Nothobranchius furzeri: one gene and its partner. The main gene of each other region encodes a partner of the protein of the gene in region 2 in a complex. Links are inferred from orthologs where the notes say so. Each region holds a gene or a part of one and is shown on either strand. Other genes may lie near its edges.

Region 1 (4,151 bases), on a different chromosome or scaffold from region 2:
GGCAAGTTGCAGGCAGGCAGGATGGTGGCCCACAAGGACCAAGACTGGACACCACTGCTATAACCTGACCTACATGTTAACACAATATAGGACTATGCAATACAACGAATGCCATGTGCTGCCAATAATCACACCTAATCTGGATCAGTATAAAATATGGCATTTTTACATTTTGAAAACAGCACATACAACAAAACATTTGGAATTACAGTGATTTAAAAAGAGGCAACACAATGGCACGGTTGATTAAGACTGATTTGGATAAACTGGGGTCACAATACAGGCAACGGATGTGTAAAAAAAAAAAAAAAAGACAAGAAAACACAGAAACACAAACAAGCAGAGTCCTAATAAATAACAGGGAAAATGATGATTACATGAAAAATTTACAGAAAGTTCACGAGTGTGTCTGCTCATGAAAGTGAATCTGGTCAACCAACAGCCTAAACAGTAAGCCGAGGTAGAGAGAAGAATTATGCTGGAGGATATGAACTAAAGTGTTTGTGCTAACTGTTGTGGAGGTCTTAATCATTTTGAAAAATTCACATGACTTCTCTGAGATTACTCTCGCGGACAAAAAAACAACAAGCCTTCATAGTGGGCTTCTTGTTTCTTTCTTTGAAGGGAGCTGTTGGAATCCTGGAATTTTATTTTATTTTTTCTACAGAATCGCTGACGTGTTGTTTTTACAGCTCCAACAACATTTTTCCAAGTGAAGCTGACTCTTATTAGAAATGGATTTGGAAGTTTCTTTATCTTCCAGAGCCAATGCTTCTGTCTTCAAAGATGGTAACTTCGACCTGAAAATGGTAAGTTAAGGAAAAATCCACAATTCAAAATCAACATAAAAGAGCATTTTACCACTAAAAATAACTGCAACCATCATTTTAATAATACGACAATGTATCATTCAACAACAACGGCGTAATTCTCTGGCGGGAGTCGGGATTCAAACTTGCAGCTTTCCGATTACTGGACAACCCTCTCTACCTCCTGTGCTACTGCTGCCCCAAGATAATAATTTTAACAATGGCGTGACATATTGATCAAACATAATCCCGCTGAACTTCTGTTCACATCTGTACATCTCGATTATTCATTTAACAACTGATTCTTTTTGGGTCTTTAGTTTGAAGAAGGGTATTTTGAGGATTTTCTATATTATCCAGCAAATTAAGCAACCGGTTACTTGAAAGCAGCAAATTAAGGGTAAATTTCATAACTTAAAACCTTGATAAATTATGAAAATTTGAATTGATTATTTAACACTGGTTTACTTTGGCATTGGATGATTGTTTTCTGTGTAAAGCCCATTTTCTTAGTCGAAGAACAACACAAGCAGTGTTCCATGTCAAAGTGAAGCAGTGTGAAAATATTCTAGTTACGTTTATGAGGTTTAACATGAAAAAGTGAACCAATTCTTCCCTACTTTGAGTCAACAAACCTCTAGTTATTTCAGCCACAAAAAATGTGTTGGGAATCTTAAGTAAATGAGGGAGAACAATATACATGTACTCCTGATTATGTGATTTTAGCTACCCTAAATGGTCTTTTAAAAAAAATCATAAAATGAGCAAAGTTCAGGATACGACTCTAAGGCCTCTCTCAATGGGGTCTGTCAGCAACAAGCCCCTGGGAGCATAGATCTTCTCGTTCTGGTCCTTTATGTATCTGGCAATCTTCTTCAACACCTTTTCATGGACAGGAAACAGCACAGAACATAATAATGTCAGCCTCTACACAGAACACTGATATAAACAGTGCCACAGAGGTCATCCCACTGAGTCAGGTTTACCTTTTCATAGTGTGTCTCCATACAGAGGAAGATGGTGTAGGCCGTGACACAGGCCAGGCAGCCTTCGAGGTAGGACTTCCCCCCGAGTTTCTCTGCCTCCGCATACAGGTTGTTCAGAGTCTGGATGGTCTCATCAAACTGCTGCTTATCCAGCTGAAACCGAGCCAGCAGGTTAAACACAACCCTAACGTACTCGTGTCAACAAACAGGTAAATGCTACTTACCCTGGACTCAAGTTCGGAGGGGAACTTGGTCTGAAACTTGCATATGGTTCCGGAGCTGTAGTCCCTTTGAACATACACCTTAGAGGAGACAGCTGGCTGCTGGAGGTCCTGTAAGCTGTGGGTCTGAACAAAAACCAAACTAGCTAACACAAACTCTGACGTACGCCACCTTTTGGTTCCACACACTAGATCGATTAAAGCAGATAGGCAGTGTGTAAAATACCGTCTTACAGCAAACTGTTTAGTTAAGAACCACATAAGGTTACGCTAAAAGAGACATTGATTACAAAATTTAACAAGATACTGGGATTTGTTTGGGATATTGTTAGCCAAAAACACGTAGGCTTTCGTGACTGTTGGCAGCTCGATACTGGTAACAAAATAAGAGTTTGCACTCAAAATAATTCACAGATTAACCTTAAAACTATAAAAATAACCGCTTCTGCAGTAAACATTTATTTTTAAAAGGAATAAACCATGAAAACTAACCTCAGCCATAGCGAAGGATTCTCTTAAAGCTGCTGTTCATCTGTAACCACACCAGTTCCACTTCCGGTTCATGCTTTTCACAATAAAAGGTCAATGTTGGACACGCATGCTTTAAAATGGAATTATATTTTAAACATATTCTTATTCCTTTCACTTTGTCACGGAGTAGAATGCAATAGATATTTTTTCTCTTTAAACGTTTTGATCAACTGACATTTAACCTCATTGAGATTTCTTCTGGTAAAAAAATAAAATCAAGTTAACATTGTTTGGTCAGATGGAAAACTATATATAAAATAATATTTCTCATTACACAAGCCTCCCTTTAAATACTGTAGATCATTCAATTCCGAGATTTCGATTTCTACAGAACTTTTATCAAGTAATCAATTTATTTTGAAGGTTGACACACCCAAACCGGAAGTTTCAATGTTCTTGATGTTTAACGTCACTCTGATGCATCATCTGGTTTGTTACAGACCCATCCTCCTTTCCCAGCTAATCTGAGACCATTACATGGAAGCCATAGTATCTTGTTTCTTTTATAAATGTTTATCTCCTAAAATATTCAAAAACTTACACAAGGAATGTGTTTTATTAAAGTTTATTGAATCAAGATCTTTGACTCATTCACTGTTCACAGGTTTAGTCGAACAGACCAAAGCCCATGTCATCATCTGATTCCTCAGACTCCTCCTTCACCTCCTCCTTAGGAGCTGAAGCTGTAGAGACTGCTGCAGCTGCTACAGGTGCTGCGACAGCAGCAAAAGCAGATGGGTCAGCCAGGAAGGCTTTGACCTGCGGAGGACATATCAAAGTGTTAATTTCTAGTTATGCTATTAGTCAAAAATAAGCACTCCTAACAGACGTGAATTTAACATGCCTTTTGCATAAGGATCAGCCGTGCAGCACGATGCATGCTACACCAACAGGTTTACAAGTTAACCAAAAACAATTTAAAGCAGAATGAGTCAAACACCTTGTCCGCCAGGGGGAAGGAGTAATCCGTTTCCACAGCGACAGCCAGGACTCTCTTGTAGCCATTGATGACCGAGTGGGGGACAGAGGCCAAAGTGGGATAGCCAATCTCCAGACACACACTAGCAATGTTCCTCACACCCTGGACAAGTTAAGAAAAGTGCAATTTAGACATATAATGTCCCTGAACATTAAAATGTTAATAGACCTTGTGCCTCACCTCCAAGAACCTGGTGTGCAAAGAAGCCTCTGTGATGTCAAGCACCTCAGGGCTGTAAACACTGCCATTATCATACACTTGCTGAATGATGAGTCCAAAGGAGAAGGGTGAGATGTTCAACATGTTGAGCAGAGTTGCCTCGCTGGCACCAACTTTGTCACCGGTTTTGATCAAGCCGACATCACTCTAAAAAAACCAAAAGCAGCAGTTACTGGGTGCACTTTGCCACACTTTTGAAGATTTTTAAAAATGCATGGTATCGATTTCCAATTTTCCATCTAAAATTAAAAACTAGAACAGCTGTCTAAACTCACCAAAATTTCAATGGTTCCTCTTGAGATTTTGGTGGTGATACCAAGAGCCTGGAAGAACGAGGTCTTCTCAGGACCTAGGCCAGTATTCTGAGCTGGCACCGTCACATCACAAGGGGCGATGGCTCCAGCAC
Region 2 (4,444 bases):
CAGATATCCTCCCACTCCAATCAGAAGAAATCCAGTGATCATCAGGCCAAATATCCACAAATCTTCCACGTCCTCGGTGGACAACTGAGAGAGGCACACGATTCGCCAGACCTCCCAAGAATCGAGTGCATATCCCGCTGCGAATGTCCCCTCGGGACAGGTGGGAGCCCCCTTCTCCATTCTCATCGTAGAAAAAATCTTATCAATCGCGTTGAATGACCAGTTAATTAAGTCCATATTTCCAAAAAAAAGAGTAGTGATTTCAGGAGAAATGCAGAGAAGCGCTCTGTAGGCAGACAGGACAGAGAGCCTTGGGGAAGCAGATAAGGGAGCTATTGAATATATAATATCTTAGATATTCATATATGATAGAAGTTTCATTGTTAACTTGTTTGAGCTTTTCTCAGAATCTAACAAAGCTGATAGCATTCAGCGTTAATAATTGTATGTAGTTAACCATGCTACACAAATAAATGTTATAGCTAAATATTTGTATTGTTTAAAGGAGTGTAAAGTCAAATCTAAAGATTAAAAACTCAGTGAAGCTCAACAGCCACAAGCCAAACCCAAACAGCTGTACAATATAGAATAATAAAGTAGCCTACCAAAATAAAACTGAGGTGAAGAGATCCCTTGTCTTATCTTAAATTTAAACTCATTTATGTGTAACTTTATGTTTAGATTTTATTCCAAATAATTTTTAATTTAATTCTTTGCTATTATTTTTGTAACATTCATGCATGGAATTACCATTTCTTAGGGTTACCGTTAGATAAATATGGTGGGAAAATGACTTCAAACTCCTCACCCCATTTTTATTGTTAGGAGGAGCTTAAATCGACCCTCATATCAATAATAATAATAATAATAATAATAATACTAATAATAATAATAATAATAATAATAATAGTGTCTATTGAACGTATTTAGGGGTTATCTTATTATTTTTTTTTTATTATTCCCTAGCTCTTCTTTGGAGGGAGGATTTTTAATCCTAATGTGAGCTGAGTCGTCCTTTGTTCCTGTTCCACCTGTGCTGCGCCTTTAAGATTAGACATCTCTATCTAGGCGTGTTTCCTGCTGCCATTTGACTCAAAGCCAGAGCTGGGATCCTGCGGAAGAAAACGCGCATGAGATCACATTCCCGTCCTACAGCTGGGCCAATATTCCTCTTTTATTTAGATGTTTTTATTTCTTCAGCTTCCAGCTGTCTGACTAGCGTGTAATCTGCGCGCAGCAGCTCGCTCATTTATTTCTGATTAATCCAAGATGATATGTATGTCAGGCGGTCAAGGTCCGAGCTGCTGCTGAGAGTCTATGCAACAACCCACGGGTGGATTTTCCTGCTTCTGCGGGGAAACATCTGTCGCAATCGTTTCGGGTGGATCTTCTAATCGTTTGCGTCTCTGACCAGAGAGATTAAAGACTGTCTGTTTGAGGAGAGGAAGAGGAGGCTCGCGCGCTGCAGTAAATACGGCAAATAATGGATTAGACAAGAAAAACGATGCGACTGCGACGCTTTTATTTTCCAAAAACACTTAAATGCGTCCCGGCTGCTTCTTTGTGAGAAGCCACGGAACATGACTGAAGTTTGACAGATTCTTATAGTGGTTTTGAAAGCATCAGCCCAAAGCAGCGAGGATCTGAAACCAGGGCAGCATGTCGGCGGTGATGATAACGAGGAAGGTGCGAAAATGGGAGAAGCTCCCGGGGAAGAACACTTTCTGCTGCGATGGACGGGTGATGATGGCCCGGCAGAAGGGGGTCTTCTACCTGACCATGTTCCTCATCGTAGGAACCTGCTCGCTCTTCTTCGCCTTTGAGTAAGTACACGCCTCTTCATCATCATCGTCATCATCACCGTGTTCATTTCTGCCTCCGAATGGCTCAAAGGTCACCTGATGATGAACCCTCTCACAATTCCAATCCGTGTGGCTCCGTGCGTAACAGGATCCATCTCTGCCCTGTAGCTGCTGATCGATCATCCACAGAAATTCAACCTGTTTCCAGTAATAACATCATCTAGAATAAATCACTTACATGCACTTAACTATTTCAGCCGTTTAGACTCTGGGCACTTGACTTTCAGCAATGACAAAGGAGACTTTTGAAGATCAAATCCAAATCTGGAAAATAAAGTTACCAGATGCAAGGAGCTTTGGCCAAACTATCAAGACTAAATTCATTATTTTTTTTAGAACACAAATCTTATATAAACTGAGTTTCAATCTGACTAAAACAACAAAATTAGTATTTTACATAACATCTTAGAAAACTCATGGGCCATGCAGCCTCAAATCCATGTTGTGATATTTCAAGAAAATTTGCAGTGACATACTTTTGTTGATATAGCAGAAAATATCTAATATTTTCTCTGCGTTGCATTATTCCTAACCAGAACATTTTCCAAAGTGTTGACCCCTGCACTTTTTACCGTCCAAAAACAATATTACGCTTTATTAAATTGACACTGGTTGAGCTCTAGGACCAAGCGGAAAACAACCGTTTGCCAGATGCTCGCGCACGCTTACACACACACACACACACACACACACACAGGCCCTTTTCATCTATTTGGTCCATATGTTAATGGTCTCCTGCTTTTCTATGAGCCAGGATAGAAGGAGGTCGAGTCCGGACGGGAACGAAAGAGCTGATGCTGCTCGCAGAGGAGCTCTGAGGAGGCACTGGGATAATGACTCGGGGGTCGATAGGCTGCCGTGTTCATATTACAGTGGAACATAATTACCTCCTGTGGGTGGGTGGGGGTGAAATGGAGATAAGACTGAAACAACATGGGGATGAATCAAACTCACCATTATGTAAGTAGATGGTTAGACTAGAACTTAAATCATTATCTGGTTTATTTTCAGTGCCTCCCACCAAAGAACATCCATGTTAATGCATTAAAACTGTCCTAAGTCTATGATGAGTTTCAAAAGGGATTATTTTATCTGAACAACACGGTAAACCCGTTTATATTCAGTTTATTACCAGAAAAGCCTGTAAAATCAGTTTACCTATTCTGTTTCTAAGAGTCAGACATATAAAGTGTGTGACTGAGTTTCAACATCATTAAATCACAACTCAAGCTCCTTTTAATCTTAGAAAAAACATAGTGCAAATGTTAGATAAAAGTATTCATATAATGCTGAAATATGAGTATCAATAGAACGTTTAACTGAATTTGTTTTTTTCTTAGTCATGCTGCTTGAAATGTTGCATTAAAGGAGACAAGGTTGGGTCAGCCCAGTTTGGGCTTGCTTTTAGCACCCCCTAGTGTTCATTTGTAGAACCCAAAGCAAAACCTATCTACTTGCTGTGCGTTTGCCTTTTCAACATCCTAATCTAAAACCTTAATCTAACATCTGAATAGTCTCCCAGCCTTCATTACTGTCTACAGGAGTGGCTGAACGAGGCAGTTCGCTATTGAAGAAGGTGAAAATACATCCTTTTTCTAAATAAAGGACTTAATACATTATCAGTTCCTGATTCTAATAAAGCCCAAAAATAAGTCCAAAAAAGCCTTGGACCATGGTGACAGAAAAGTTTGTAAATGAAGTTGAAGCAAATCCAAAATCCAACAAAACACATTCTGGGCTAAAATTGAGTAAAAACTGTTGTTTTATGAGAGCATACTGTGTTGCCCTGATCTAAAACTCTGATCCACATTCGATATAAAATGACTTTTCTCACATATAGACTCGAGCTGTGTGCTACACCGCCGCATCCCTGGGCAAATGGGGAATGCTGTGTCCTACCACCAGCTGGCTCTGGTCCGACACCATCCCAGCACACGTCTTCCTTTTATGTCCAGTCATCGGCAGCCCATGCACGGTGAATTCACTGTGCTTTAAATCATTCTAAATAGCTGATTTGACACACAAAAGGAAGGAGTCATTGGAAAGATGTAAACAGATTAGTCTGAAGAGGTGTGCCCTGCCTCTCTGTGGGTTTTGCAGCATTCTGGGATGCACTGATCCTTTTATCCTTCAGCTGAACTGAGTCTTTCATGCTGTGAAACATGCTGTCTGAGCTACAAAGGGCTCTGGTACCTTTAATGGCCTCCTTGCTGTCAAAAACTCATAGGATTTCTTCTGAAATGCATATGTTCAGTACATGTGTGTATTTGTGAATGTTGATGGCCTCCCACAGAGTCTAGAAACCGGAACACAAGGACAGTTGGTCATCTGTCCACTGCAGGACAACCAAGCTGCAAAGGGAGAGCATATGTTTGGGTAATGGGGCTGCGTTTTGTCCCATGTACTCAGATTTTATTGTGCGTGTTTTAAGTGAGCGATTCATGTGCAGGGCAGCCCCTGCAGAGCGAGTGGCTGCAGTCAGAGATCTTTACAGACCTATCACCATCCGACCCCACCCTGTCTCCCTGTTAGCCAGTCATAAAGCAGCATTCAGCTGAGAGTAAATGAGCAGTAACATGATT

What was found.
Region 1: the proteins of zdhhc9 (region 2) and golga7 are in contact, whole or in part, in a cryo-EM structure (PDB 8HF3), measured with the Homo sapiens proteins. The link is inferred for Nothobranchius furzeri from reciprocal best matches to the Homo sapiens genes ZDHHC9 and GOLGA7. Residues at the interface, in NP_001008223.1 of Homo sapiens: Phe78, Ala81, Arg85, Ile94, Pro95, Leu98, Asp100, Glu101, Phe104, Ile105, Phe129, Gln130, Ile131, Asn132, Ile146, Pro149, Pro150, Arg182, Tyr183, Leu186, Tyr274, Lys281, Cys284, Glu285, Leu287, Cys288, Gly289, Pro290, Leu291, Pro292; in NP_001002296.1 of Homo sapiens: Lys11, Phe13, Gln15, Tyr18, Ser19, Ser20, Gly21, Thr22, Ala57, Glu58, Leu60, Ser64, Tyr65, Gly68, Cys72, Ala75, Tyr76, Thr77, Phe79, Leu80, Tyr86, Glu87, Leu90, Ile116, Arg118, Gly119, Arg121, Val122.

The regions. Positions count from the first base shown.
Region 1 is NC_091743.1:54,616,911-54,621,061, forward strand, and holds golga7 (golgin subfamily A member 7), read right to left. Parts: upstream 2,615-4,151; 5' UTR 2,518-2,614; coding exon 2,509-2,517; intron 2,143-2,508; coding exon 2,020-2,142; intron 1,949-2,019; coding exon 1,796-1,948; intron 1,692-1,795; coding exon 1,590-1,691; intron 801-1,589; coding exon 753-800; 3' UTR 638-752; downstream 1-637. Other genes in the region: rplp0 (large ribosomal subunit protein uL10), read right to left, coding at 3,154-3,306, 3,488-3,628, 3,707-3,892, 4,021-4,151. UniProt on the Homo sapiens protein: May be involved in protein transport from Golgi to cell surface. The ZDHHC9-GOLGA7 complex is a palmitoyltransferase specific for HRAS and NRAS.
Region 2 is NC_091741.1:85,582,262-85,586,705, reverse strand, and holds the start of zdhhc9 (palmitoyltransferase ZDHHC9), read left to right. Parts: upstream 1-1,520; 5' UTR 1,521-1,659; coding exon 1,660-1,823; intron 1,824-4,444. UniProt on the Homo sapiens protein: Palmitoyltransferase that catalyzes the addition of palmitate onto various protein substrates, such as ADRB2, GSDMD, HRAS, NRAS and CGAS. The ZDHHC9-GOLGA7 complex is a palmitoyltransferase specific for HRAS and NRAS.